Linked DNA regions of Alligator mississippiensis. The protein of the gene in region 4 interacts with the protein of the main gene of each other region in a pairwise test. Links are inferred from orthologs where the notes say so. Each region holds a gene or a part of one and is shown on either strand. Other genes may lie near its edges. The genes, in order: EAF1, PPP1R37, PSMF1 and BEND7.

Region 1 (8,174 bases), on a different chromosome or scaffold from region 4:
AAATAGGCACAGTGACATCTGAGTTTGCAGGTGGCCTAAATCAAGCACAGAACTGCTCTACATATTTTAGTAGGGTGTTAACTCCAGAACACAGTAAGTATAGGGGCCCTGTCAACAACACCCCAGAGGACTCTCGAGTGTGACAAAAGACAACTTCAGTCAGTTCAGGTTATTATGAAGATACTCTGTGATTGCTCAGGTTAGTATTGCCTAGGGTCCTTCTGTGTTCCCCTTCCCCTCCTCAGGCAGGAGGATGGACACTTGTGGGGAGAGCAGAAAGGCAAGTCCAGGTTGGGGGTGGGGGACAAGCAAGATACCGAAGTGGGGCCGATGGCAATATAGGCCTTGTGTCATGACATGTTAGAGTCCCCAGTTCCCTAAAAGTGGCCTTAGCTCACAAGGGTTTTAGTTTGACTGAACAGAGCATACTTTGTTGTTCTGAACTAGTGTAAGCTAAGACCCTAGGAACTTTTGCTAATACAAAACATTTAATTCAAATAAACATAATTTCAAAAGAGATTTTCAGTTAGTTATTCAACCACACTACTGAGATATGAAGATAAAGACATAAACATATGACCACAATGTTTAAAGTTTTGAAAAATGGTTTAAGCTCCTATAGTACAATTAGATCATGACCCAGATGTGGAGGATACTACCATTTTTACAAGCATTTTTTACTTCTGGTCTCAGCATACAAAATTGCACAGCCAAGACATCTCTAATTATTGTATTTGCTGTTAAAACATCAGTTCCATGGAGGTATGTAAAATGCAACTCTACACAAAAGGTAGGCTTGCAAAAAAACCTAAAACAAACAAACTTCTTCTAAAGAGATACTCACTTTGAATAAAAGCTGTTGACTTTAATGACAAAAAGCTTAATTGTTCCATACCCTTTCAGCACTCCCAAACAACAAGAGAATGAAATGGCAACTAGATTTAACTTGTGTTCCTACTCTTTTCATCCAAAGACCAAACCATGTCCTCAGGTTTATCCAAAGAACCTTGTAGTCTAAAACTAGTGGCTGTTTTCCCCTAATGTAGCTTTACAGATTTACTGTGTGGAACACAAGAGTAGCCACAGAAAATCAACACCCGCCCCACCATCTGGTCTGTGCGCCAAAAGAAAGAAGCCAGCCGTTCAGCATGGGCAGTCTAATGAAACTTCTCTTTGAGTGAGAGGTGCATTTCTGACCCTTTATTGGAGATCTCTGACTTTGGATCCTGTCAAGCTCTCTGCTCTTACAGGGGGGAAATGGTAGGAGCAAGGGTGACTGACAAAAGATTTCACTACCAGGCTTCTTTCCTAGCGGTGCCTGGTAGAGCAAATATATGGCCCACAAGCACTTTTCGCTTGGAGAGTTTATTGGTCTTTGTGTGTCTTGTTAGTTTACCTATGAACACACTAGCTTTACGCCCCCTTAGATAAAATCATGGCCTTTTCCCACTGAACTCCAAAGCGTTTTCTATTTTCCATCCAGCTTTCCACAGATGGAGGGGCTAGAAACTCCCCTGCTTTTCCTAGAAGTACCCAGATGAGGTGTTCGGGGAAGGTATACATACAATCATAGAAAAATAGGCCTGGAAGTCCAGCTCCCTGTTCAAGGCAGGGTCATCTCTACCTAAACCATCCTATACAAGTGTTTATCTAACCTATTTGTAAAAATGCATGAACAGCCCTCTCATGCAACTACTAGGCAGAATGCCCCAAAACACAAACTCCTTAAATTCCCACAGGTAAAGCAGGGGGACAAGGGCACTGTCAATGTCCTGCTGCTGTAAGGACATGAAATTAACTGGTTAAAATACACTAGAGAGATACAAAGGAAGAAGCAGTTTAGTGACCTACTGATCTATTCCCGTTTTATCTGCAAATCTGATCAGTAACAACTTCTGTGTTTTCTTTCTGATAACCAATAATATTAAGTAGTGGTGAGAACCCAAACACACATGCTCTGTCCTAGAATCACACCAAAGTTGGGTTGGGCTGGACCTCCAGAGGTCATCTAGTCCCGCTAGGCAGGATTCTGCTTTTCCAAACCATCTCATACAAGAAGTACTCGTCTCACCTAGTCCTAATTTTCCAGTGATCCCTATCTTAGTTTTCTTGATTTCCCTGTTTCTTTATAGTGATCATTTCAGAAGCCTCTAGTTTCTTCACTCCGAAAGGAAATCTGAATTACTGGTTCACACACTTCCATTCAATTCAACTTGCCCAGAACACGTTCAGCATTTTTCCTTCTATTTCTCACGAAAACCCTTAAGGATTTGCTGAGGTTGAAGAGCCTCTCCTAGTCACACCCCGCTTCCCGCCTGTGCCTCCAGCAGGTTTTAAGGGCAGGACGACGACAGCATCCTGGACAAGCTGGACTGGAAAGGGCCTCCAGAGGTCATCTAGTCCAGCGCTTCTCAACCCATGGGTCGTGACCCAAAAATCAGTCGCAAGGATATATGAAACCACTGCTTTAACATGTGGGAAACCATGGCTTTTTCCTCAGACGCTGCAAAGGGCTGCTTGCCCCCCACCCCATACCTCCATGCATCCACCCCCTGCCCCACACGGGAGCGAAGGGCACTGGGTCGGGACTGGGAACCAAGGTTTACAAAGGGGTCCTGGTACAAAAACAAAGCGGAGAACCGCTGGACTCGTCCAACCCTCTGCTCCTCCCTACCCCAGGCTCAACCCTGCCCCAGGCCAACCCCAGCAACAGCACCCGGCCCTCAGCCCCTCCGCCGTTGCCCCAGCAGCGGGGCCCTGCAGCTGAGGCAGGTCACGGGGCCCCAGCCTGCCCCGGACGGTCTCGGGCTGGGGGAGATGGGCGCGGCGGCCCCTCAGAGCTGCGGGCCGGCCGCACTCACAGCGGATGGTGTGGAAGGAGGCCTTGGGCCGCCGCTCGAAGCTCTCGCCCAGCTGCAGCCCGTGCTCCTCCCGATCCAGCAGCGGGTTGGCAGCGCCGTTCATGCCCCGATCTCCCGGCCCGGCCCGGCCCGGCCCCGCCTCGCCTTGCCGCTCCGATCCCGCCCCGTCCCCTCCTTCCTTCCGGGCGGCGAGTGCAGCGGGGAAAGCGGTCCGGGCCGGCGCGGCGGTGCAGGGCCTGGGGCCGGGAAGTGGCTCCCTGCAGCCTGGGCGGGCCTCGAGCACCCGGGGCTGGGCCCCGCCTGCCCAACTCGCTCCTACAGCCAGGGCCCGCGACGCCCCCCGTTTCTCAGCCGCCTGCCGGGGCTCCTCTCCTTTGCCTGCCCCCGTGGGAGCCGGGGCCGCCGTGACTGACTGGAGGGTCTGGGGGAGGAGAAGACGCCCCTTGTCGCGTGGCGGGAGGAATAGTGGCTGCCGAGGCGGGTGCCTGTTGTAGGCTGGCGAAGGCTGACGGGCGCTGGCTCGCTTCTAAGGCCGTCGCATAACACGAGGACCTCGGGTCTGCGATGTGAAGGGTAACTCGTGGAGCCAGGGGTGACGGGCCAGGGTCAAGCCAGGCTGGGCCAGCAAAGCACTTGGCATTGGGAGCTCTGCTCCTTCCCTGATTCTGGAAGTGGGATTCCCACCCCCAAGATTAGTCTCATGTTCTCCACAGCCTTTTCTTCCCAAACAGGTCACCGTCTTCTTCTGACATGGGTCGCTACCGCCGGTGCGGCCTCACAGGTAGGGGTCACAGAAGGAGCGCTAATGTGGACTGCCTGCTGGTGTTTCAGCTGTTTTGTTATATAGGCCATAAACTGAGGTTGTGACCTCGATGTGGAGGATAGTACCATTTTTACAAGCATCCTCTTACTTGTGGTCTCAGCATACACACTGCTTCATTTTCTTAGGAAAATGAAGTTGTGAGCAAATTTGAGACTGTTTTCATTAAGCACTAGTGCTTCCATCATTGCTACCACATGTGGAGCTCTGAGCAGGGGAAACCAGGGATGAAAAGGTTGATGTGGATGTGGCTAAACTTTAAGTTGAACTCTTAAAGCCTCCCCATGTTTCCTGTACTGAATTTCCTTGTGTGAGGCTAATTGGTGCTAACAAGAAAGGGAGCCCCATTTGACATTATTTTCCTTTATGCTTTTGGTCAAAATAAGTTGGGGTTATGGCCTCTCTGCTTTTTAATGGCTTCTAAGTGAGGCGCAGAAAAGATTGGAATGCAGTTTGGTTTTTTCATGTTGGATATTTCTGAACTTTTGTGGAAGCGTCAGCATTGCGGGCTTGATACTCTCTTAGCTTGGCATTTAGAGCAGAACAACCTCCCCCCAAGATGTGAAGACAATAACAATTTCTTTTTCATTCCTTCTGACAGTTGTAGGGCCTAGGCTGCCTTATCTGAAATAGAAATGGAAATATGCAGCTGAAGAAGAAAACCACTTTAAATCTGCTGTGTTCACATTCATATGGATGAATTCAGAATGTCCCAGAAAGACGTGCCTGCCAATCACCCAAATGTAATAGCCCCAACTTGTGAAGGCGACGCTTTCCAAAAAAAAGCGCACAGCATAAGGACTCTTAGCGCTGAAGAAGCCGAGAAACTCGCAAGAGATCAAACTTTAGTGTCTGACTTCAAACAATCAAAACTGGAGAAAGAGGCCCAGAAGAACTGGGATCTGTTTTACAAAAGGAATAGCACCAACTTCTTCAAAGACAGACACTGGACAACCAGAGAGTTTGAAGAATTAAAAGCATGCCGAGAGGTGAGCTATGTGCACTAGTTCTACAAATAAAGGAACAGATGTTGCTAATTATTTTCAAGTGTTATGGTAGTGCTAGAGTGATGTTGTGGCTATGATGGTCCAGGAACTGGGTGGCAAAGATATATTTTCGGGTGGTATCTTTTATTGGATCGGCTGCATAGTTGGGATGGAGTTGGATAAGTTTTCCAGTGCAAGACATCTAATGAAAAATGCCTTGCATTCAAAGTTTTATCCAACTCTATCCTAACTATGCAGTTGGTCCAATAAAAGATACTGCCCTAAAAAAATCCTTGCCTTCCAGTCATCTTCAAATGATTTCAAGTCCCCCTTACAGATCAGATAAGCTGTGACAGTGGCTTCTACTGTTATACTTCAAGTCTTTCATGCTGCATCATGCATTCAGTTGCACTTTCAGTACCTCTTTGACTGTTGCCTACTCGAAGGCTTCAGAAATTTAAAAAAGTTAAATCACTTTATGAAGTCTGTATTTATAATTGACCTGTCTTATACATTCAGAACCAGACTGGAATATTTTCTCCTGTGTCCTATATTAGAGTTTACATAGCTCAGATCTAAGATTTTTAAACACAATTTGAAAAGTTGTTAATTCACCTTAATATGAAGTCATCTAGCTAGAGCTGTTGGTATATTAAAATATGCATGTAAAAAAAAGCATTGAGGTGTATCCTTTGTTCACCTTATTAAATCAGAGATGAGGTAAAGTAGATACAGTAGCTTGCTCATTACCAAAATGGATAGATGAGTAATGGCATATTAATGGCTCTGTAGAGACACATAAGATAGCACAAAATAAAGCCTGTATTTCCTATGTCAAATTGCAAGTGAAAGGATTTTTCAGATTTTGAACGGATGATAAGTGAAACTGATAGTAACTATAAAATGTGACAATCTGTATCTTTACATTTTGAGGATGAAACAAAAGCGATACGGTATGTATTGACTTCTTTTTCACCTCTAGTTTGAAAATCAGAAACTCACTATTCTTGAAGCAGGCTGTGGGGTTGGGAACTGCTTGTTTCCACTTTTAAAAGAGGACTTCAATATCTTCGCTTATGCTTGTGACTTCTCTCCAAGAGCTGTTGAATATGTGAAGGTTGGTGTGCTATGTCTGTTTTTTTAGTGCTGCTTCAGAAAGTTGGGCTCTGTAAAACTCCACATTACAGAAATGATAGAATTGCATTGCTTGGTTCCTTTTCTTCTATAAAGATGGTAAATTGTAAGGTATGGAAGTATGAAATGGACACACTGGAGCTTAACACTGTATATAAGAAATTGAATCATTACATAGAACCTGACTTATGTAGTAATAAACTGTGTTTCTGTAGTAATAAGTGTGAGTAGCTGTTCTGCTTAGATAGTCCTTAAAAGTTACGTTGGGACTAGTACTGTTTCAATGCAAACCATAAATTTCAAAGTACAAGCAAAATTTGTTTTAGGATATATGTTCATAAATTATACTTTAATTTTTTTGTGAGAGGTAGTGGATGAAGGTGATTGTGAAAGCAGTGACACGGAAGTTATTTTCAAAGAAATGTGTAGATCAACTAGAAAGAGCAGTACTATTTATATTTATTCATTATTAATTATTATATTAATTATAGACATTATAATATTTTTCATAAAGATTTAAAGAGACATTGGGCCTTTAAGATTCTCTTGATTTTCTATAAATTCCAAATGCAGAAGTATATAATTATAAAATCAACCTATAGATGTAAATATATGTCTTCAAAGGACCAGTCGGTAAAAGAAATTAAAAATTGAATTTGGTTGTATGCCATCTGACCTACAGGACTATATTTTGCAAAATTGTTCCAAATACTCTGAATTCCATTTTAATTTAGAGTGAGGTTGGTAGGTTAGAGGTACCTGTAAGACTCATAAGAGATGGACAACAGGCCAATTTCTTTCCTATTTCTTTTACTCCCCAAATCATTGAGAATGGATTGTATTGCCAGTTTTAGGCAAAAGAGCTGTGTGTACCTCATCTCAAGCAGAAAATTTTCATACCAGAAAGTTTTAATTTACTTTTGCAGTCATATTCCTTTTGTTATTCTCCTGATTAAAAGGAAAAAATCAAAATTATTTTTTTTTCTATTTTTATAATAAATGCTGCTCTTTTCAATTATGGTTTCAGCAAAATATTTTCACTTCCTAGAAAAACCCTTCATATAATATTGAGAGGTGTAAAGTTTTCCAGTGTGATCTTACCAAAGATGACCTTCTAGAAAATATACCAGCTGATTCTGTAGATGTTGTCACGTTAATATTTGTGCTTTCTGCCATTCACCCTGACAAGATGCATCTGGTCTTGCAAAATATTTACAAGGTAAATTAAGTATGATTTAACATTTTTCTTTCTTGTTTGAAAGAGCCATTCTATTCTGAAAAGGTCCTGTGACATAATGGAATCTTTTACGTAACACACTCTGAATGTAATTACAGTAGTTATATTTGCTTCCTGCAGGGACTAAAATAATTTTGCACTAAATTTTTCACTTAGTAAATCTGAGAGATTGGCTCTGTGTGTGTGTTGGTAATGACTGAGGGTCTGATCCTACAAACATATATGGACTTAATGTTGTAGACTAAGTAGTCCCACTGAAATGTAATGTAAAACAATGGGATTGCTCACACCCTACAGTGTTAAGTATGTACGTAAGCCTTTGGATGGATCATATCCTTAGATTTTATATGAGAAACAAATGAGGAGCAATAGAACATCATTCAACAAAGTGATAAATTCTTTTGACTCTAGTTAAAAGTGCTCAGTATCCTGCAGGACTGTCCCTGTAACAAAGAGCTGATAAATGCAAAGCAGTTAGTGCACTATAGATAGTACTGTAATCCAAAAAATATCAGCCAGTTGTTGGGAAGAAAGACTCAATTTTTGTGCTGATAACATTTTTTTTATTGTTTGCAACGTTTTCCAGAAAAAAATAGTATGATGTATTTTATAGAATTCATTATCCTTATATATTACAGGATATTCTGTATAGCATATCAGTTACAGTTTGAATAAGGAACCTTAGCTTTTGGCATACGTCTAAGGTTGCTTTCTATAAAGGGAATAGTTCTTAAGTTTGAACAACGCTGAAAGCCCAATCACTGTTTTGCTTGTGAAGGCGGTTGACTCCTTTAACCTGTGGCAGTCAAGTGGCAAGGCCGGAAGGCCGGGCTGTGGCCAGCAGCCCGAAACGGCGGGCGGGTACTTTTTGACCGACGGACAGGAACTAGGCACCGAAGCGTATTGGTTGAACAAATAGATTGCTTTACTTACACCGCTGATGGTCACAGTGCAGGACGAAAACTGACTTGGATTACAGTTGCAAACAGGTACAGGGTTCATTAGGTCGGTCTGCAGAGATTTTCGGGCAGAAGTATTCGGGCCAGCAGTCGTCGGTTTACGTCTAAATTTTGGGTCGGTGACGGGGAGTTGTTCTTGGTAGGTGATCAGTCCACCAAGTTGCCTCTGAGGTGTTC
Region 2 (8,186 bases), on a different chromosome or scaffold from region 4:
ATTTGAGTGCTCCCCGGGAAGTGGCAGCCCCTCAATAGAGACCCTCAGCCCAACGGGAGGTCAAACTGCAGTGGGAGGCCTCTAACCTATGAGTTGCAGGGTAGGCTGGGATGAGCCACGCTCCACCTCTCCTGACTGATGCTGCTCCGTGGTGCAGAAAGGAACGCAAGATTCAGAAGGCCAGCCGGTGCAGCAAGGGGAGCACGATTCACCAGTAACGAGGGCACTACTCTGGGAGGAAGGAGTCCTGGGTTCTGGCCTGGCCCCTAAGCCTCCTCACGCATTTCACCCTTGATTAAAGCATCCAACATTCCCTACTCGCTGTACAGTCCTAGAGCCGGGCACCCAAGAGCCTGGGGCAGCAACACTCCGGATCACTGTGTGAACCTGGCTCTCTGTGCCCGTGACACACAGGGAGCACGTGTTTCCAACCTGCCCCATGACTGTCAGGAGTTCAGCCAGCCAAAGACAACTTATCTGCCCTAAGTAGGTCTCTTGCACCATATGCTCTGACATCATTTTAAACTTAACTGTTAGTCCCTCGCTATCAGTACAGTGGCACCAGTGCAAGCATCATATCCCTATCGCAGTGCTGCCCACCCAACCGTGCCAGGACAAGAGCTGGGAAATGAACAGCTGGCCATTCCATATCCATCCACCCCGTGCTCTATTGTACTCTACCATCATCCGTTTCCTGTTCACCACTTTACTGAGCACGACAGAAGTTAGCAGAAACAAAACCTTCATTTTAACATGACTCCCAGGAATACAGTTATTATACACAGTAAATTAAAAGGAACGGTCACTTAAAATGTACTGATTATTTCTGTTGTAAAAAGAATGTTAAGATCATTGCATTACTCACCCCCCCATTGCAGTTCTTCATAATTATGCCTGCTGCTGCAGTAACTAAAGAAATTAAATACTTCATCTGTAAATGCAAGCTTGTCACTCAAAAGGCAAGTTACCCATTCACATTTATGTAAATACAGCAGGATTTATGAAAAGCAAGAGATATCTTCAGGCCTGAAGTATCATTATCCCCTCCTAGCATCTGACCCAATTTTCAAAAGGCAAGTAATACTTTTATTTAGGGAAGAATAAGTCTTCAACATTTCTCTCCTCCATACTATGGCAGAAGAATACAAAGAATGTCAATAAAATTACATACATGGTGAAATAAAGTTTCAGGCCATTAGGAACCAATCCACCTCTTTGTTGCAAACACAACAGAGATTAGCAGAATTCAGTACTGTTAGTACCACCCCTGTACGGGATGACCCGTCTCTGTCCCTCTCTCGTTAAACCTACATTTAGAAACGCTGACAGAGTTTCTCTAAGCGGCGCTGCTTGGTGCACTTCCCTCACGGAGCATGCCCAGTAACAAGCAGCACAGGACAACATACCTGAGCACATCAAGAACCAAGCAGTCCCATTTAATTTGGGGAAATAAACCTGGTGCTTGTGAAATACTGATTCATTAGCCAGAGGCCGTCAGTGTTCAACAACAGAAAAGGTAAAGAGCATTTCAGAAAGACTGCTTTTTAAAAAGCAAAGGTAGGAAGAGAATACAACTTCTTTGTAACCGGTTCAAAATGCCACCGTTTCTCAGACGCAACACCCTGATCTTTTGCACCTCTGCTTCAACAGCTTCCCTCAAAATCCGTTCCCAGAACAAGGAGGTGAAGTAATCCTGGTCAGACAGACTGACATTCCTTCAACACCGAGCACATGCAGGAAGCAAACAGTAAGGGCACCGACTACATCGTATACACCATCCAGTTGACAAAAATTATTTTAAAAGTTAAAACCATGCAACACATTACTTGAAGGTAACATTAGCTTTACATGACTTCAAACTAATTTACAAAACTGAGGTATTAGCAGTGACTGTTGGGTAAGTGCACTGGCTTTTAATAATGGTAGCAGTATCTCTTTTTGTAGCATTGACTGAGTTCAATAACTATAAATCTGGAAGGTCAGTGAGATGTTTGCTTTTCTGCAAATGAGCTAAGCAAAATAAAGAAAAACAGGAAGAGAGAGAGAGAGACCGGCATGAGCGGTCTTAAGAAAGGGGTTTTATTCTTACAAGCCACCGGTTACAACAGAAGTTGGACAACTCTGTCCGGACGCAAGAATGCAACTTATAAAACATCCACCTCTGTTTAAAAGCTCAGCACGCCGCCAGCAAACACCAGCTCGGCGTGCACTTGGGACTGCTAAAGCCGCACGACTGGGCACACCTGCACAAAGCCTGCGCGCGGCCCCACAAACAAACCCGGCCGTTTTTTCACCAGCTAAAACAAGCCTCAAGCTGCGTCGTCCCGTGTAGCAACAAAGCGCTTGCAACGTTTTCTAGCACCCCGGCGAAGTCTCCGGCTCTAACAAACAATTTGGGAAGCTCGTGCCCCGCTGTGCGTTGAACCCAACCACGGAGACGAACGCAGCCTCTGACAGGGCTGCAGCAGCCACGCGCTGGAGCCGGGTTCGGCAGCCTGGGACCCTACCGTGCCTCCAGGGGTCCTTGGGCTCCACGGCCCCCGACACGATGTCCTCGTCGCAAGGAAACGTCACCCGCTTCGCGCCAGGCTTGAGCTTGCCGTCCTCGGCGGGAGGAGAAGCCTGGGCCGGCTGGGCCGGGTCCGCGCCCGGGCTCTCCGCCTCCGGGGAACAGTTCTGGGGGGAAGAGACGCACGGGGCGGAGGGGCTGGCACCGAGCTCCCTCCTCACCCTCGGGGCACCCCTCGGCGGCAGCCGCCTGGGGCCACGCACCCCCTGGCACCCCCGACCCCATCCCAGAGCCCCCCCACCCCCCTGGGGGAGCCCCCTCACCCCGACCCCGTCCCAGAGCCCGCCAGCCCCCGGGGCCCCGCACCGGCGCCTCGCCCTCCCCGGGCGGCAGCGGCAGCAGCAGCAAGTCGTCGCCGGGCGGCGCGGCGGCGGGCTCCTCGGGGCCCGTCGCGTCCCCCAGGGCCCGGTCCCCCTGCGCGGGGGGCCCCCGCGCGCCCTCCATGGCCGGCGCCGGCTGTGCGCGCTCAGGCGGGCCCGGGCGGCATGGCGGGGCCGGGGCCGGGCGCGGGGCGGCGCTCGCGGGTGGCGGCCCGTCCGCACCGGGCCCGGGAAGGCGCCGCAGCGAGTGCGCCAGCGGCCTGCCCGTCCGCGCCCGCACTTTCCACGCGGGCCCGCGCCGCCGCGCGCCCCGCCGCACTGCTGCCGGCGGCGCCCCGGGGGGACGGGGGGGGGACGGGGCGGGGCGGGGCCGGGGCCCGACGGCCGCGGGGAGCGGAGGCGGCTGGTGGCGAATCGGCGGCGGCGGTTGCTCAGCCCTTGGCGGCGGCCATCGCCCGGCGCGGCAGCCGAGCGCTCCGGCACAGCACTTTCGCCGCGGAGGCGGGGGCTCGCTGCCGCCCCGCGGAGGCGAATGGAGGGCTCCGCCGCTTGTCCGCGCGGGGGCAGGCCCGAGGCGGCCCCGCGACAGCAGCAACGCTCCGAAGGGAAAAAAAATAAAAAAGGCACGAATCCGCTGCCGCGAACACGCGGCCTCACGCAAGCACACGTCACGCACGCCGACGCCGGGTGCCGGAGGGGCCCTTTAAGGAAGGGGGCGGGGCTGTGCCTGGCGTTCTTCTGCGCATGCGTCGCGCGGGCCGGGGCGGCAGTTCCGGGTTGGGCGGCCACGTGGGGTGCGCGGGCCGGGCGAGGGGCGTCCCCGCTCCCGCCGTGAACGTGCCCCTCTCCGGGCAGAGCCGAAGGCACCAACACCCGCGCGTCGCCCCGGCACCGGCTGCATCCGAGTCCTTTCCGTTCCGACTTCACACAGCTGTAGCCGCCGAGACCCGACAAATAAACGCATCCGTCGGGCCGGTCTGGTGACGGCCGGGGTCACCAGGCTTCCCGCTGCCGGAGGCGAAGCCTGGCCGGCCGGCCCCGCACGCCGCGACGCGGGAGCCCGCAGAGCAGATGCGGCTCCAGGGGATGAAGCGGGGGCACGGGCCGGGTGGAGGGAAGGGACCTCGGCGGGCACGTCTAGTCCGGCCCCTGCGCCGAGCAGGGCCAGCCCCAGCTCCTCCTCGCGAAGCGGGGCCGGAAGAAGCGGGTCGCGGGACACGAAGCGCGGCGGCTGGGGCGGCGCGGCCGGGGGAGTTCAGGCTGCACTTTAGGGAAAGCTTGCTGGCGCGGCGGGTGGGGAAGCGCTGGGGCAGGCGCCCAGGGGGCGGTGGGATCGCCGTCCTCGCGGGCGTTGAAGACCCAGCTCAACAAAGCCTTGTCGGGGCTGGCCTGCTTGGAGCGGGGCTTGGACTAGACGTGAGCTCCCGTCAACCTTCGTCGTGTGCGCGCGAGGGGACGTGCGGGACAATTGCATAACTGGGTCACCAAGCCTGTTGTCCGTTGAGCAGGGAGGGGGAAGTCTCTTGATGTCTTGTATGAAATGAGAGGGGTTGTCTCAGCCAAAGGCCTCGCTTTGAACTGAAAGATGGCCCCGATTGGCCTGGAACAGATCAGTTGCTAAAACTCCTCCCAAACTTGGAATCAGCTAAAGCTGCTCAAGCCAACAGGCCCGATACCCTCGAAGAAGACGGCCCGCTTGATGGCGTCGAAGCAAACCGGACCGAGCCCTGAAAGGGAGCAAACTAGGTGAATACAGTAATGAGGGGAATCGGTCACCAGCAGGATCAGGAGTAACCCGAAGGAACCGAACGGGCAGAGCTACAGGCTGCTCTGGGTGCGGAGCCAGGCTTTACTGGGACAGGAGGGTAGGGGGTTACTGCTAGCTGTGGGGGCGCGCGGCGCAGCTCTGCGTCATCCGACCATGCTCTGACTTAAAAAGGTAAAATGTATGAAATCCCTGGTTTGTGTAAGAGACGCTGGAATTAACGTATCCCAGTGTTAATCCCCCAGGCAGCAGTCGGACCAGCTGCCTGACCGCGATTAAAGCTATTTTGGTCACAAACTCTCCGCTCCTGCTCTGTTCCAGCTTCCTCGGTAAGGGGCTGTGCTGGCCGCAACAACAGGCTGAGCCAGAAATGGTCTCAGCTGGCCACTTTGCAATTTGGAAAATGCAGAGACCAGTGCACCCCACATGAAACACTTGTCCAGCACCGGGATGGCTAGGTCCTATCACGTGTGACCCACGAGCCATGAAGCTGCATCATAACATTGGAGAACACATCAGACCAGAACAAGGCGGGTTAACTTGATGTCCTACAAAGTGGCACACCAAAAGCATGTCTGGCGCACAGATCTGCCTTGACCTGGCGTGTTTTTGGTCTCAGCCCGCAAACACAGTCTGCAAAATAGAGAGCGGTTACGTTATCGCCACAACCGCAGCACCCATCCAGGGAGATGCATCCTGTTAAGAGCACTGCAAAAACCTGCCTGGCACCTGTGCCCTGCTAGCAAGCCCGCGAGCCTGGTGCAGAAATTCCAGCAGCTGGTCACAACCCTATAGTTTAGAGTGAATTAATTCCATTTTGCACCGAAAACTGGGATTCATCCTGCTGGTTTTGATTAAAAATGATGGCATAGCCTCCTCAAACTTACTGCACTTTGGGTAAAGAGAATGGATTAATAAAGAACTTCAAGAAATCAACAGCAGATTTATATATAAGTTATAAGTAATTAAAAACTGAATACCTCAGGAAAGCTACCATGAGGTGGCTTTTTTCTCTCCTGAATAACCTTCATAATGGAATAATTCTGGTTTTTCAGCATTCCCGGTTAGTTCTACGACACACAAATCCACACACAGGTGCCGTTAAAGTGTTCAAGCCATCCTTGAGTTAAGCCGTAGCAATTGCTGTGTCTTGCTGTGGCTTCGGGCAGGGCTGGTTGCGCTGCCCGCTATTGAGGTTCCCATTATAAGACCCTGATTTCAGTGATTTGTGTCTTTGTCGAGCCGTAGCTGCTCGGGCTGTGATTTCCTGTAGAAAATTACAGCCTAAATTACAACAGCTGTTTCTGAGCATGAGGCTAGGGTGAAATAAGGTTTTTTTGCCTGTTAAATAAAAAGCAGCGGTAATGGGGGTTTTGGAGCACTCCAGCACCTGCATTCGTGAGAGGAGGGTCTTGAAAGCAGGGTGCACTTTGCCTCGGGGATGTGTCTTCTGCCGTCCCCGTCCAAACCTGCTCAGATTTGGCCGGGTTACGAGCCTGGAAGGATCATAGCTGGCACGCGCTCAGTAGCGAGACGGTGGAATTCTCTTACCCTCAATGCACCCAAAATGCAGCTTTCCAGCTGCATGAGCAGCATGTCCAGCACCGAGGCCTGGCTTCCAATTTTGTTACACGTGCAGCACAAACGTGTATCGGTCTGCACAGCCATGGAGCACGTGCAGGAGGCTGCACGTTGTTGGGTGTGCACGGGGCTGTGCATGTGCAGACCTGAGCATGAGATCAGGCCTCTCAAATGCTGCATTAGCCTCTTGGCTGCTGGCACCAACACGGCAGGGCTGGTGGCTGTGGCAAGAAGCCCGGCAGTCTAGATCCGCATTGCTAGCTCATTTTGAGTTGGACACCCCTGTCCTAGTGGTTTGGGCACTCACCCAGAAGCTGCGAGATGCAGGGTCTATATCAGCTCCTCACTGCGTCTCTGACTTCAAGCACAGCCCTCGGACCACCAGGCTGGAGGGCACACATTTGCCAGGCTCTTCTCCAGCCTGCTTGAATCGGACCCACTTGGGGCCAGGAGGAAGCACACAAACTGGGGGGAGCGCGGCTCGGGGAGAGACGAGCACGTATTTGGGTTCTAGCTTAGACCCTTTTCCCCCACAAAAAGGGCAGCCACTTCTCTCCACTCGTTTCATTCAGCGCAGGCAGGAGCCACAGAGCTCCACGAATGCTCCCCACTGGCACCGGCCCACGGCCGCACAGCCCCGCCTGCCTGCCCCTGCTCCCGTGCGGGTGCTGCTGGTGCAGCAAAGCTGGGGTGGGCAGTATGCGGGCCCACGTGCAGGGAGCCCCTTCTGCCTGCAACGGCTCCCTGCCCTCTCTAGCGGCACCCGCAGCCGTCCACCACCATGTCCTCATAGGTCTTCAGGACAACGACGTCGTGCTGGCCCAGGTAGAGCAGGGCCACGGGGCTGAGCATGGTGGGGACGCAGCAGGTCCATGGCACGCTGGCATTCACCGAGCTGAGCAGCGTCTGCACCATGGCGTGGCTGGAGGAGTTCATGTGTGCGGCCAGGGGGAAGCGGCATTCCCCGTGGCAGTAGAAGGCATGGTAGCCACTGAGAGCCACGATCCAGTCATCCCACCCCATGTCCCTGAAGTCCACAAACGGGGTGCCTGTGGCACCAGGCCGGGCCTTTCTTGGTCTTTGGGCTCTTCCGCTTGCTCCGGGGCCTGGGAGACCTCCTGCCTGCTCTCCCATCTCGGCTGGTGGCCTGACCTCTGCTCCGCTTGCCCCAGGCACTCAGGGCCTTGCTCCTCTGGTCGTGACTGTAGGTGACCAGCAAAGGCCGTTCTGGGGCCCACCGCCCCTCGGCCTCCCTGGGGGAGCGTCTTGCTCGGAGGTGCAGGTCCCACAGCGAGCTGCTGTTTCTGTGAACCACCTCCACCAGGAACCCGAGCTGGCGCTTCCCCACTCGGACCGCAGCTGTGACGTCAAAGCTCTGCCACCTCGGCTGGTCCTGAGCCACGACGCGGTGCTCCAGCAGCCAGTGCTGGCCCCCAGCCACCTCGGAGGGGTCCGGCGCGTGGTACAGGCTGATGCGAGAGCCTTGGGCCACCATCTCCTGGCGGGAGAAGCGCAGCTCCAGAGCCAGCAGTTCCTCCTCGTCGGGGAGGCCCGAGATGTTGAACAAGACGTAGGACCATCCTGCCGCTCCTCCGTCCTCAGGGCCCCGCTGCTGCCCACCTGCACAAAGCACACAAGCAGCGCGGGCTGGAGGGGAACTCGCAGCTGCAGCTTGGGGCCGCGCGTGCGACATGGGAGGCCACATCCGGAGCGGGTGAGTCACCCACGTGTGCCCCGGGAGAAACCCCCTCAGCAGAAGCAGAGCAAGGGGGGAGCTGCCACGGGTCCCTGGACAGCCCCGTGTGTCCAGAGAGCTCGCGTCCCCTGAGCCCATTTCCTAGCGGCAGTCGGGGCCGCAGCAGGCGAGCGCGGGCTGTCCCCAGCGCTACCCAGCGGGGCCAGCTTCCCTGGCCGGACGGCGCTGTCTCGACAATGCAGCGTTGCCCCCCAG
Region 3 (7,260 bases), on a different chromosome or scaffold from region 4:
ACGTCTAGTCCAGCCCCCTGCTCACGCCAGGAGCATCACCAGCTAAACCATCCCAACCCGCTTTTGAAAACGTCCCGGGATGGAGATTACACAACTCCTCTGGGCTCCTGTTGCAATGCCTGACCTCTTTCAGAGTCAGAAAATTCATCTCCAGCCTAAATTCTTCCCTGCTGCCACTTGAGGTCATTGCTCCTAGCTCTGCCCAGCTTGGCTGTGTTCCCCTCTGACTGCGGATGGCTTCCCCACAACAGGCGAGGCTGGTGCACACAGCAGACGTGATGCATCAGTCCGGCATCCTCCTGGCCCCAGCCCAAAGGCTCCTGCCGAGCTCATGCTGCAGGGTCACATATGGGACCAGAGAAGGGGGCAAATCCTTCCCCCCTCCCTTCCACCAGCTTTCGGGGCCACCGAGGTGACAGCTGGCAACATGCTAAATGCAAGGCTTACACGCCCTGAGCTTCATGGTCAGCCTCGTCTTATCAGAGGAATTACTGCGTGTTAAATGAATCCAAGCTGATTATTCAGGCGCCCCAAGCTGTAGGAGCCCATTGTGAGATCAAAACCACATTTGGGTTTTGCCAGCACCAAGGGGGAGTCCCTTGCCCTCTGCATGCAGCAACTGCCCCACCGGCATCCACATGGGAAACCTAGGCACGAATTGATTTAAGGGATTTTGGAGGCATCCAATGCATCCCACCCCACCACAAGCAGGACACGGCTGCTCTCACTTCCAAGGGGGCACCGGAAAGGCTGTGGAGGTGGGTGGAGCGCCCCATCTCCCCAGCCATACTCACCCAAAGGGGTCCAGGTCCTCTCCGCCCACTGCAAAGGGGCCCAGGGGAGATGGCCTGCAAGACAAGACACAGTGACTGCGAGGCGGGACACCAGCTATACAGAGCCGTGCACTTCGGTGGGGTGCCACGTGCAGGAGGCAGCGCGAGGGAGCAGGAGGATGTGGCGGACATGCACAGGGTGCGTGTCAGAGCGTGTTAGCAGTGGAGGCTGCGGTTCTTCACTGGGACCATGCCCAGCTCCAGTGTGCTGCAGACCTGGAGCCGGCACTGCCATGGCCAGCCCCAGGCACTGGGCCAGCCCCTGTGCACGTGGACACTGGTGCCGTGGCCTGGAGAGCAAGGCGTGCAGGTCAGTGTCCTGTAGGGCCCAGGTGGGGAGGGGGTTTTCACAGGGCACTCTCCAGCCCCCATTTCACCCACAGCTCCTTGCCAGGGATGCTGGTGGCAGGGTCCTGCACCCCCACGACTCCGAAACACACCTGCCAGCTGAAAACTACACCTGCTGGCTCCTTCTTCTGCCAGCCAACGTGGGCAGACATGGGGTGAGGGGGCTTGGGGCTGCTCCTGCATCCTTCAGAGCCATGGTGCAACACCAAGGCTGGGGAGAAGGCAGCTGGGAGGGGACACGGGGCGCATGGGGGCAGCACAGGTGGCCTCTGTGCTCTGCCACCCCCTTCCTGCCCCCTCCACCCCACTCACCAGGGGGGCTCCCTGCTGAGCGGGGGCTGCCGGGGCGGGATCCTCAGGGGGTCGTAGTCGTGGTGGGAAGCTGGTGGGACCGTCCTCTCCGGCTTGGACTCCTTCTTGTTGTCCTTCTCCTTGTCAGTCCTGAATGGGGAGATGATGCCCGAGACGATCCTCGTCCTCAGCTCCTCCACGTTCTTGTACACCCTGCGGGGACGGAGAGGGATGGCTGCTGGGCACACGCTGGGGCCACCTGCCCCACTGCCAGCCTGAGGGATTGGGGAGCTGGGCCATCGTGCTAGCACAAGGGTGGGCAAAACGTAGCCCGGGGGCCAGATGTGGCCTGCCAGGCCATTCTATCCAGCCTGCGAGGTCCCTAAAAAATTTAGAAAATTAATATTTATCTACCCCCCAGCTGCCTGTCACGTGGCCCTCGATGGCTTGCCAAAACTCAGTAAGTGGCCCTCTGCCCAAAATAATTGCCCACTCCTGTAATGGCAGCTTGCAGGGAGGACAGGGGGGAACAGGCGCCTCTCATCCCCTGGCTGGCCCCGTCCAGGCACACGCTCCTCTACCCTGTATCTTCTTACAGGACCCCCGTAGGGGTGAGTGCGATGGGAACGTGGCACCGCACATGTTCAAAATACCGCAAGGACCCACTGAAAAGCCCGTGGCCCCTTGGCAGACCCGGCCCATGGCTGCAGCTACCCACGTGTGGGCGCAAAGCTTCCCCGCTCGCAGCCAGGGACGTGCCGGGCTGCCCCTCGCTGCTGCCCCTCCCTGGCTCTCAATGGCTCCAGCCCCGCTCGCCCGGGCAGTTACATGTGGAAGTCGTCCAGGTGCTCCGGGTCCACGTAGTCCGCCACGTTCAAGGTCACGTCCGCCACCTGCAGTGAGCTGCGGTCCTGGGCGAGGGCAAGGAAGGGCCGTGTCAGCTGCCAGCGGATGGGAGCAGGCGCCACGGCCCGCTCCCCGCCTGCACACCCAAGCTGCCAGGGCAGCTGGGTCCCCGGGGCACGTCTCCCACCCGTGGCGTCGGGGATGGAGCTGCCTGGGCACGAGGGAGGGCCCCGAGCTCCCCCCAGGCGTGGGCTCACCATGACATTGAGGATCATGCTGGTGTCCACCATGATGGCCTTGAGCAGCAGCTCCTGGCTGTCGTCCTGGGCCTGGTACCGCAGCGTGTACAGCTCCTTGTCCACGTGCCACCCTGCCGGCAGCAGCTCCGACTTCCTCTCGTTGGGACCCGCCTGGGGGGCAAGCACGGCTCAGGGCGGCGGCATGCACAGACCCCCTTAGGCCGCCCCTAAGGGCCTGCCACAAGGGACGGGTGCCGTGCCCCAGCACTGGCAGAAGCGAAAGCGAAAGCGGGCTGGGGGGTCGCCCCGCACTCACCCGGTCGCCGGCGCCCAGGCAGCGGTAGCCCTGCGTGACCAGCTCCCAGTGCACGGCGCACAGCAGCGCGTCCTGCGCCCGGCTCAGCCCCGCCAGCGCCCACGCGTGCAGCACCTCCAGCCCCGCCATGCTCGTTCCCGGCTGCGCAGCTGCGCCGCCCCGCCCCGCCCCGCCCCGCACGGCACCGCCTCCTGTGGGCGGGCACACGCTGCGGGAGGGGCGGGGCGGCGCGGGGCGGCGCGGCACACACGTGGGCGGACGCGTGCGTGTGTTGGGGGGAGGGGTCATTGTGTGTGCGCATGTGTATGTCTTGGGGGGGGAAGAGCCAGTGTGTCGGTTGCATGCACGTGTGTGTGTGTGTGTGTTGGGGGGCCAAATGTCAGGGTCACACGTGGGTGTGTGCATGGGGAGGGCAAGAGCTAGGATCACGTGTGTATGTGTGTGTGTTGGGGACCAAGGGCCAGGGTCACGCATGGGTGTGTGCATGGGGAAGGGGAGAGCTAGGATCGTGTGTGTGTGTGTGTGTGTGTGTGTGTGTGTGTGTGTGTGTGTGTGTTGGGGACCAAAGGCCAGGGTCACACATGGGTGTGGGTGTGTGCATTGGGAGGGCGGGAGTTAGGATTGTGTGTGTGTGTGTGTGTGTGTGTGTGTGTGTGTGTGTGTGTGTGTGTGTGTGTGTGTTGGGGACCAAAGGCCAGGGTCACACATGGGTGTGGGTGTGTGCATTGGGAGGGCAGGAGTTAGGATCGTGTGTGTGTGTGTGTGTGTGTGTGTGTGTGTGTGTGGGGGGGGGGGGGGGGAAACAGGGTCATGTGCATGTGGTGGGAGGCCAAATGCCAGGGTCACATGTGAGTGTGTGCATGGGGGGGGGCAAGAGTTAGGATCATACGTGTGTGTGTGTGTGTGTATTGAGGGGCAAGGGCCAGGGTGACACGTGCGTGTTGGGGGGTTTGCCCCCAGGAAGGAGGCAGTGTTTTCCGTGTCCCCAACCCGGAGGCCGGCCCCTGCCCCTGCCCCGGCCCGTCCCCTCCCTGCACCCGGGCAGGGCTGGAGTGAAGCGGCTCCAGAGGTGCCTGGCAGAGAAGGGCCGCACTGCCCGTCTGCACAGCGCTAGTGGTGCTGAGCATCACGCAGATGCACGCGTGAATCCAGCGCCCACGCGGGGCCCCGTGCCAACCTGGCTCCCAGAACCGAGTTTGGAGGGAGGGTCTGGGACCGGGCGCTGCCCTGCATGTCACCGACCTTCCCAGGCTCCTGCCTCTCCTGTGGGCCCTGCTCCGGCTCCAGGCGCGGGGATGCAAAGGGAGGTGGGGGAGGCCGGCAGCCTGGGGCCCTGCCGGTTTATGGCCTGGCGGTTGCTGGGTGACGGGTGAGGTGACAAGGGCCCCGAGTTCCATGTTCTGAGCTGTCCCAGGGCTGGGCACGGCCTGTCCTCGCCCCTGCCCGCAGCCCCTGAGCATCCACGCGGCAGCTGCATCCATGCGGCAGCCGCTTCCAGGAGGCAGTGGGATTGCCCTGGGAGAAGTGGGGCTCACGCGCAGGTGCCCGGGCAGGATCCAATCCTTTCCCCTGCGTGTGCATGGCAGAGGTGCTGGGCAGCGGGGCTGGCAATGTCAGCATCCTGTTACAGGAGCCGGAGCTGGCTCCGGGCTGGGTGCGAGCTGCTCCAGAGGGTAGGATTCGTTTCCCCTTTCCTGTGTCATCTTTCCAGGCTTCTCTCTCCATCATCCGGAGCGGCGCGGCACGGCACACGCTAGAGGGCTCCCGATGCTTTTGCAAACCCCACGGACGCTCCTGCCAAACCCCTCCCTGCTCCAGCTCCTCTCCCTGCAGCTCCAGGGATGCTGCAAGTGGAGCCCGTTGCTCCTTGTTCTCTCATCTGCCACCAGCCCAGCCCCATCCTCTTTGGGACCACCTGCAGGGAGCTGAAGGCTGCTATTCAATCCCCTCTCGGTCTTCTCTTCTGTAGACTCAATCGGCCCAGTTCCCTCAGCCTCTCCTCACCAGTCCTGTCCCCGGGCCCCAAGCCATTTTCGTTGCCCTCCGCTGGACTCTCCAATTTGTCCACGTTGGAAGCTGTCTGGGTTTTGGGGAAGGGAGGTGGCTGGTTGCTGCAGACAGGACCTAAGAGCCAGGGGTGCTTCACTTGGGCTTTGCAAGTCCCTCCTGGCCTGTCTTTCCACAGGCCCAAAGAGGCTGCCGACACGGGGTGCCCTGCATGAAATGCAGAGCCTGGACCCAGCTGCAGCTAGCGGGAGTGTTTGGAGGTCAGGGCATTCAGAAAGCAGCCCCTGGGATCCCAGCACAGCAGCCAGGGCCTTTGGGTCCCAACATCCCTGTCCACAAAAGGGGATAACGCTCTTCCATCTCGGGGGGCCGTGGGAGGCTCCATTCATGATGCCCGCACAGTGCTTGGAGCATGGAAGCTCTTCACAGGCGGTCAGTGCTGGTCTTATCTCAGCCCCCAGCTAACGAGGGCTATCTGTCTTCTTCCAGAGAAACGGCTTCCCTGGTAACCAGCTGCCTTCCACCTTTTCCTGCGGTTATCCCAGTCCATCGGGGTCTCTCGTTGGATGGGGGAAGAGCAGAGTTTGGCTGCCTGGCTTGCTCGTTCTCACCACCCTTCCCTGCTGCTGATGCAGGACGAGAGCAAAGGGCCCGAGCCCTGGATCACACCTGACTGCAGATGCACCCGGCAAAGGGGACACAAGGTGCCATATGCAGCTCCAGAAAGTCACTGCAAATAGCACCTGCTGCTGCCTCCAGTGCCCTCATGTCCAGCTCGGCAAACATGGACCCGAGAGTCTAACTTGTACGTGCATTTGATTCATAGATTCATAGACGTTAGGGTCGGAAGGGACCTCAATAGATCATCAAGTCCGACCCCCTGCATAAGGGGGACGGACATGCACGTGTGGACTTTGCACGTGCAGCTGCTGGATGAACATACATCCAGCAGCTGCACGTGCAAAAGGGCCAGTTCTGGTTTGCAGACCAGCATATACAGTTGTGCCCTCTGGGCCTGCAAAGCAGACGTGCATTTTCAACCAGCAGCTATTAGAAAACCATTTGCAAACCCACTGCCTATGGTTTGCTAGAGTCTGATCCATGCTTTTGCACCCCCGGCCTCTCCGAAGCAGGGCTTGCCACTAGCAGACCAAGACATTGGCTGACAGAAGCTATTTTAAAGAAAAAGAGTGTATCGCACCACATCCAAGTGGCCTTCGAGCTCACCGCTGAGCTTTTAGACTAACAGCCCCTTTGGCATCTCTCAGACACCTATCGCAATAGCACCAGGCGGCTTTTCAGCAGTTTATTGTAGCAAGGCTATTTCTATGCCTATCATGACCTGCATCATTTCTAATATATGCACCGGACTTCCTCGCTGTGCAAGGAGCGGTTGCAATAGCTTCAGTAACTTTCCTTTCTAGACCCAATTCATTTCCGCCCATAGGAGCTCGGCGGCAGATACGTTGTCAGGAAAGCGGCAAGCCAGACGTCACTGGGGGCAAGTCAGAGCGGTCCAGACCGAGCTGGCGTATAGGAGGGATGCTCTTTGGGAATCACCACGTTGGCTCGTAGAACGGACGGCTTCCTGGATCTCCCTGGCTTATGGCAAATAAATCTTGCACGCTTAATTTCATGAGTGTTAGGAAATGGGCTCTGCTCAAAGCGAGCTTTTCCAGAAAGCCCCTGCCTTCCCACCTTGGCAGATACCCAAAGGCCCAATGCTTTTCCCTGTTGGGACTCAGGGAAGTTTATGCTCTGGACTTTGGTGGGAGTAGGTTTTGGCTGGGACAGCAGGGCAAGAGCATAGCATTTCGCTGCAGGCACCCTGTCCTTTCTGGAGTGGAGCTCCCTGCCCTTCGGGAGGCTGTGATTCAACATAATTAATAAGCACCGAGTGGAGATAACTCAGGGCAAGTCCTCCGGCTCCCCTGGAAGATGCACCACGCCTGAAGGAGCGATGCCTCACAGCCGCCACTCGCAAGCATGATTCATCTCCCCTCGTGGCAGGGCCGAGGCGGAGTCACACCTCTTGCTAACCTCGCCTGTCTGTCCTGGCTCCCTGCGAGGCTGGAAGCTGTCTCTGACGCCCTGGCTGCGTGGGAGTCTGTAGGGATCCGGCCTCTGGCTTTGCACCGGATGCTCGTGCAGCGAGGAGAGGCCCGGGCGCCTGCAGAAATCCTGTCTGCGGGAGCTGGAGCGTATGCTCTCGACTTCATGCTCTCCCGACACATGAAGGGGCAGCTCCGGGTTGTGGCATCAGAAGTTTGAAGCAACGCTGCGGTACAGGCGGGTCCGAGAGCAGGGGCTTGACTGCACGGGTCTATCTGGAAGCAGCCGAGGCCAGGTCTGGCATCAGAAACACGGCGGCAGGGGCACG
Region 4 (7,073 bases):
ACTGAAATGCAGCTCCCGAATAAGGTGGGGCAAGGCAAGAACAATGAACATTTTGACTTTGACACAAATGTGCTATTGTCGTTCTAAGTCCCATTCTAGGTGTCTACAGAATAAAAATACCAGTGTCCCAAAAGATACTCCCAGGTCTAAGTGTACTTGAAAACTGAACGATCCCTTGAGAAAGATATTCTCTTAGGTCATGGTTGAGGTGGCTTGGCAGTGTGGGATGGAATGTAGGCTCTGCAGTGACCGATATCATACCTGCTCTGTAGATAATTAGAGGACTTTGACCTAAAGGACTGTCAATCTGTCATCTTGTCCTAGTTTCTAATTCACGCCCGTACAGATCACATTGCAGGATCAGGGTTTAGGTGTCTGGGTCGAAAAACACATGGGGTTTACTCACATGAGGAAGTTTTCTCCTGTGCGGTAGAATCAGGCTCTTGGTATACCCAGGAAACTGCTGAAAATAATCATAACTGAAGTTCTGTCAAATGCACAATTTAGGCCAACTGAGCAATAGAAAAAAAATAGTTTTTCACTAACTCTTACTGCAGTAATTGTAGATGTTACTTATAATCATGGAGTGCACTCAATCTTTGTACAGATATGTAATTTCCACAATTGACAGTGTCCCTTTAAGAAAAAATAAATAAAACCCAAAGAGAAAGAATCAAAAGGGAAGACAGACACCAATTCCATTTTGTCGCATGAGTCTCTCTTCACAAATCATGTCCCAAAGTGTTTTACAAAACTGTCTAATACAAGACAAAGAATGGCAGGAAAAACAGAAAAGATCTTTTTTTGGTCTGTAGCACATTCCTTAGGTCAGTGTAGAGTTGAGCCTATCATGTGAGCTGAACAGCAGTGAATGAAGGCCTTATGCTTTATTAAATTCTCCTATTGTCCCATTAAAGATGAGCACAAAGCATAACAGTCCCAAAGATGTTTTAAGTCTTTTAAGTCAAGTTGGCAGAGAAAAATCAGTAGGGATTAGACCCTGATGAGTACAAGCAAACTTAAAACAATGGAGCAGTGGAGTTTAAGACCTGGCTTCATTGAAGTTACGTTGGGGATTAATTGTGACCATTTAATTTAGCAGACAGTAATAGTAATGGCAGCTCTATCACTCCCTTGTGTGCTATTACCTATGGAAATGTAGCCATGCTAGCCCAGTGGATTATCTAGGCTTGGGAAGACCTGTTATCTTCTATGTACCTGCCTCTACTGCTTCAGCATCCACACCCAAAATACATAATGCAGGCTTGAGCGAGCCTGTTAGCCCAGTTTTCTTTTATAAAGTATTACACTGAAGTTTAGAAAATTTCCAAAAGCAGCATCCTGCCTTAGGGACTGTCCACTTAGGAACTTCATTTAAAAGGACATCCCTGTCCAAGCCCCTTAGAAAGGGGCTATTCTAGAACTTGATGAATCTCACCTATAGGCTTATTTTTTCAACGGTGCTATTTGGTGCCAGGTCTGGTTTCTACTTTTTGTTCGTGCAGTACGTAGTGCCACATGGATCTGGTCCAACTGAAGTTTCTACAAAAACTGTGATACAAATAAATAACGGTAATATTCAGTCTGTTTTCTTTGTATTACTTTCACCTCATTCTTCCTAGCCAGTGCACGACCTGCAGTACTGAACTATGGACGTCAGTGGACGGTCAGGGTGTTCCTCTTTAAATACCTGCAGGCACGTTTTGTGCCCGTTTAGGGACTTGCAGCAGGGATGAGACAAAAGATTTTGATTTGGCCTGAGTTTTAAATTGTCTGAATCCAGGATTGTGGTCCCTGCATGCAGTGCACTTTCTCCCAAAGGTGTTCTTGATGTACTGATTGCAGTGAAGTTGCACCAGGGGTGAAATGAGCTCATTCTGTGTAGCAGGTAGCACAGGATATCAAGTACAGTAAACCCCTAGCAGAGGTGAAGGTGTAAACTGGTGACTAAATTAAAGCATTTGCTTCAGTTGTGTTCAGATGATATAAATCTTAGGTTGGCCTTCCTGTCGCACCTTTTTTGAGGAAGGCACTTTCCTTTGAGCAGCCACATCAAGGGAAACTGTGTGAAACTTTGTGCACTCAGTTCGCAGAGGCTCCTGCCAAGCTTCTTCCGATTTTACTTTGTGACCTCTGCCAGGCAGAGATTAACCTCAGGGGCAATTGAAATGGGCACACCCTTGTACACACGATGAGCAATACAAATAAAATCAGAGGGAGATACTTTCAGCCTGCAGTTTCAGGGAAAACCCAACTCAGAAATGGGGGTTGTCAGCATAAAAAGGTTGTACTAGGTGAACAGCTGAGCATGAGGAAGTGAACTCCGGCTCGTGAAAGTTTGTACTCTCTCTCTAGGTATACATGGTATTCAGTTAGTCTGTACATGGGCATATCTACAGAGACTCCAGACTAGTCCAGTTAACCACTTCTCTCTAAGCAGACACTCCCAAGGTGGTACGTAAGCACAACTTGGTAGGATGGATGCAAAACAGTTTGCATGTCCGTAGCTCCTCCTCTTTGTTATTTAATGGGCTTTAGAAACAAGGAAGGGAACACAACCTCCCAGCATGGGGCAGCCTGACCCCAGGCTAACTGGATACCTTTACCTCGGGGAGAACCAAGGCACCTTTACCCTGGGATAACATAACCATGTACCTTTACCCTGGGATAACTAGGGCACCTTTACCCTGGGAGAACATAACCAGGTACCTGTACCCTGGGGATAACTGGGGGCACCTTTATGCCAGATTAACTGCAGACCTTTACCCTGGACTAACATACCAGAGCAACTTTACCCAGGAAATCCACATCTTTACCAGGGGATAATTAGGCACCTTTACCCTGGGGTTAACTAGGGTACCTTTACCCCAGATTAGCATAACTGGGCACCTTTACCCTGGTTTAACTGGGCACTTTGACCCTGGAATAACATAGCAGGGCAACGTTACCTGGAATAAACTGGTACCTTTACCAGGGGATAACCAGGCACCTCTACCCTGGGGTAGCAGGACACCTTACCCCCGGATAACATAACCAGGCATCTTTACCCCAGATTAACTGGGTACCTTTACCCCAGATTAACATAACTGGGCACCTTTACCTGGAATAACCCAGTACCTTTATTAGAGGATAATTAGGCATTTTTACCCCAGAATAACATAAGCGGGCACCTTTACCAGGGATAACATAACAGAGCACCTTTACCTGGAATAACCCAGTACCTTTACTAGAGGATTATTAGGCATCTTTACCCCAGATTAACATAACTGGGCACCTTTACCCCGGGATAATATAACAGGGCACCTTGACTCCAGGTTAACTGGGGTACCTTTACCCCAGATTAGCATAATTGGGCACCTTTACCCCAGATTAACTGGGCACCTTTACCAGGGATAACATAACCGGGCACCTTTACCTGGAATAACCCGGTACCTTTACTAGAAGATTATTAGGCATCTTTACCCCAGATTAACATAACTGGGCACCTTTACCCCGGGATAAAATAACAGGGCACCTTGACTCCAGGTTAACTGGGTATCCTTACCACAGATTAACATAACCGGGCACCTTTATTTACGCTGGGGTAACTGGGTACCTTTACCTCAGATTCACAGCACCCGACCCCTTTCCCGGGGATCACATAACAGTGCAACTTTACCTGGAATAACCCGGCACCTTTCCCCCGGGATACCGTGTCGGGGTAGCTGGGGACTCTTGCCCCGGCGCGCTCCCTCCCCAGCGGGCCCGGGCCCCTGTCCCTCCCCGGGTCCCGGCGAGATGGCGGCCGGCGGCGGCGGCGCGGCGGGCCCGCGCGGGGGGCACAAGATGGCGCTGCCCCCGCGCCCCCCTCAGGGCCCCCGGCGCGGCCGGGCGGGGAGCGCGGCGCCCAGCAGGTGGCAGCGGGCCGCGGGCCGCCATCGCCGCCGCCGCCGCCGCCGCGTCCCCGGGCAAAGTTTGGGGCGCGGGGCGGGGCGGGGCGAGGCACGGCTGCCCCACGCCCCTCGCTGCCCGCCCGCCCGCCCGGAGCCGGCTCTGGCGGCCGCCGCCGAGCTGCTCCAGCCTCCCCCTTCCTCCTTCCTCTCCTCCTCCCCCTGCTCCCGCCGCGGCTCCCGCTCCTGCCTGCGCGCACCATGGAGTTCACGGAGAGGAAGAGAAGCAGGAAATCCCAGAGCTTCAAACTGATCAACCAAGGTAAAGTGCAGCCAGGCTGGGCGGGGGGAGGGTATGCTTTCCCCCCAAATTAGGAACCCTCCCCCCAAATTAGGGCAGAGGCTGTCTGTGTGGTGTCCCCCCCCCCCTTCCCAACTCTCCCCACAATTGGGCTGGCTTCAATTGTAGGGGCAGCTCTTGTACAGGATAAAGTTGGGTTTCATTTCATTCCCCCCCCCCAGAAAAAAAGGGGGTTCAATTTGAACCATTCAAAAAAAAGGGGGGGGATGACAAGGGTCTGCACCCCCCCCTTTTTTAATATTATTATCTCTTGCGTGGCCGCTGCGCACCTACCTCCACGTCTGGCTGGGAGAGAGGTTTCATGTCCACGCCACTCGTTTAATTTGAGGGCAGAGGGAGGGGGGCTGGCTGGCGTGGGACTTGTTGGATTTGGGGGAGAGGGGGCATTGCTGTATTTTTAATTTTATTTTTATTTTTTAATTTTGTCCCCCCCCCCCCCCTTACACACATATACACACGCACACCCCCCGCTTCTCCTCATTCATGTCGGAGAAATGCACCTCCGTCTTCCAGTCCGTCTCGAAAATCGGAGGCTGTCTGGGTGGTTTAAACAGGTAGACCTGGCTTTAGGGGGGGCAGGGGTTTGTTTCTTGCCACCGCAGCCGATGGAGATGTTTTTCGCCCTCCTTGATCCGGCTGGAGATCTTGTAAAGTATCGAACTGAAATATCTCCATGAAATGCCGGATGTGTCCTGCATGCCAAGTTGAAGGCAGAGTCTCTTTGGTGTCATGTCACACTTTCTGAAAAGAAATGCCAGAGGTTCACAACTCCTGTGTCAAGATGAGGAAGAAGGGGTGGGGGGGGGGGGGGGGGGGGCGGTTTGCCGCAGGTTATGCAGGAACAAGTGTAAGAAAGGTGGGTCTAAAATGAAAATAATCTCACTTGAGGAAATCGTGAAATTTTTTATATATATATATATATATATATATATATTGTAAATGCGTAACGTAACAGTGGAGCGTTTGCATGGTGAACGTGTAGATTTGGTTTTTGTTCAGCTGGGTGAATACAAGCTTGTACAAAGAAGCGCTTGCCAAGCTACAAGTAGAAATGCACGAAGGATCATAGAGAAGTAGGGCTGGAAGGGATATTAAATGCCAAGGACTACATTTATTTTTCAAGCAATAAACCTGCTCCTGCATTGCTTGTGAACCCAAGGCTGAAGAACTGCGCTTAAAGCAGCATGAGGATTTGAAAGTGAAACTGATGAGAAACAAAAGTGAAACTGATTAGTGTATTTTTATTTCCAAGCTGAAGGAACTGGTGAAAAGTGTAGAATAACCTAAATAATTAAAGACAAATAGATATTTGACAGATAGTTTTAACCGTAACGTAAGTTAAGTCATTTAATTCTAGATAAACTAATGTTCGGTCGTAAATTCTCAGTTATGCTTGGCTTGTCTTGGAAATCTTCTTCTTGTAGAGATGTAAAGAGACCAACTGTGCCAAATCCAATTTCTGAAGGAAACGTATTTGGATTCTCAGAGAGTCCAGAAGATAAAAACCGTGTTTTAGTACAGTAAGATGACATTCTCATGTACTTTTAGTATTTTTCCTTTTCTATCAGAGTTGATTACCAAGATAATTATATATATGATTGTTGTCTCCCTTGTAATCAGCCTGTGCCTCCTGGCTGAGTCACTCAGTAATGTCACAGTTTAATGTTTACTGTTGTGAAATTGATATGGATTTCACAGGCCCTGGACTGTGACATCTGAGGCAGAAGGGGACTGAAAAGGAAGCCCTGTGCTGTATTTATTTAAAAATATATAAACTATTGTCATTGTTCTCCTGTTTCATCTCAAAGAATCTCAAAGCACTTTACCACCCTGATCATACCAACTGTGCATGTAGAGATCACTTTATTCTTTTATTGAGATGTAGCCACCTCTGGAGCAAAATGCAGTAACTTTAACAGAGTAGCTAAGAACCAAAAGTGAACGTATCATATTTGCTGGAGACAACATATAATTTAAACTTTGTTAATCTGCCAGTCCCTACTGTCCAGGTACTGATAACACACTTTTACCCAATCTGCATCAACAGGAGAAAAAATAAATAAATAGAATTTAATGACTGGAGAACAGGACTCCGGTAAATTCTGTGGGGTTTCTTATTTTGGAAAAGTGACTTAGGAAGCCGGGTTTGGCTCTGTATGTCATACAGCCTTGTTAGTCTTTACTCCCCCAGCACACCCCATCCAAAAATCTTCCAAGTAAAATCCTTATTAAGTGTGACTAGTCACCATTCCCCTTAAATTTGCTTCATATCCATAGAAGTCTTCCTTCCCTATAGTCGCATCTCTCCCTATTTCTCACCTGTATTGATGTTATTTTTTATTCTGATGCAGTGCTGGGATCACATCTTTTGTTTTTCCTTTCTTTTGTGCCTAGTGCTTTACACATAAATAACAATGCGTAATAAGAAAGATTTAATACAGAGGGTCTTTAAATTCTGGACTTGATTATTTTGTCAGGGTTGCAGGTGTGTTTCTCATGAAAGGAGCAACTGCACATAATACTCTTCACTTCTGTTGTGCCTTTTATCTGAGTAGCTCAAAGCACTTTTCTTTGCATTCATTAATTTCCATAACACCTTTACGAGGCAGGTAAGTTTGATAAAAAACCCAGTCCACAAAGAGAAACACTGGGATGTAGGGAATTAAAGGACCTTGTCCTCTGAGATGCTGAGTTCCCTGCATTTCCATTATAAGAACAAGAAGCTAAGAACATCCAGCATGTCAAAAGAGCTGCTTCGTGCTTAATACTGCCTGGTTCCAAGTGACATGCCCAAGGTCATAGAGTATATCAGTAGCAGAGCCAGAAATAGACTCCAGGAGGCC

What was found.
Region 1: the proteins of BEND7 (region 4) and EAF1 interact in binary tests that used the Homo sapiens proteins (3 or more experiments, as listed by UniProt). The two-hybrid records come from large-scale screens. The link is inferred for Alligator mississippiensis from reciprocal best matches to the Homo sapiens genes BEND7 and EAF1.
Region 2: the proteins of BEND7 (region 4) and PPP1R37 interact in binary tests that used the Homo sapiens proteins (3 or more experiments, as listed by UniProt). The two-hybrid records come from large-scale screens. The link is inferred for Alligator mississippiensis from reciprocal best matches to the Homo sapiens genes BEND7 and PPP1R37.
Region 3: the proteins of BEND7 (region 4) and PSMF1 interact in a two-hybrid assay, tested with the Homo sapiens proteins (2 studies listed by BioGRID and IntAct). The two-hybrid records come from large-scale screens. The link is inferred for Alligator mississippiensis from reciprocal best matches to the Homo sapiens genes BEND7 and PSMF1.

The regions. Positions count from the first base shown.
Region 1 is NC_081828.1:140,259,169-140,267,342, reverse strand, and holds the start of EAF1 (ELL-associated factor 1), read right to left. Parts: upstream 3,049-8,174; 5' UTR 2,965-3,048; coding exon 2,862-2,964; intron 1-2,861. Other genes in the region: tRNA N(3)-methylcytidine methyltransferase METTL6, read left to right, coding at 4,374-4,670, 5,650-5,784, 6,850-7,020. UniProt on the Homo sapiens protein: Acts as a transcriptional transactivator of ELL and ELL2 elongation activities.
Region 2 is NC_081838.1:260,277-268,462, reverse strand, and holds the start of PPP1R37 (protein phosphatase 1 regulatory subunit 37), read right to left. Parts: upstream 3,094-8,186; 5' UTR 3,014-3,093; coding exon 2,876-3,013; intron 2,677-2,875; coding exon 2,508-2,676; intron 1-2,507. UniProt on the Homo sapiens protein: Inhibits phosphatase activity of protein phosphatase 1 (PP1) complexes.
Region 3 is NC_081832.1:1,942,324-1,949,583, reverse strand, and holds the start of PSMF1 (proteasome inhibitor PI31 subunit), read right to left. Parts: upstream 3,033-7,260; 5' UTR 3,003-3,032; coding exon 2,874-3,002; intron 2,729-2,873; coding exon 2,576-2,728; intron 2,384-2,575; coding exon 2,301-2,383; intron 1,686-2,300; coding exon 1,494-1,685; intron 849-1,493; coding exon 795-848; intron 1-794. UniProt on the Homo sapiens protein: Plays an important role in control of proteasome function. Inhibits the hydrolysis of protein and peptide substrates by the 20S proteasome. Also inhibits the activation of the proteasome by the proteasome regulatory proteins PA700 and PA28.
Region 4 is NC_081827.1:14,538,471-14,545,543, reverse strand, and holds the start of BEND7 (BEN domain-containing protein 7), read left to right. Parts: upstream 1-3,958; 5' UTR 3,959-4,130; coding exon 4,131-4,191; intron 4,192-7,073.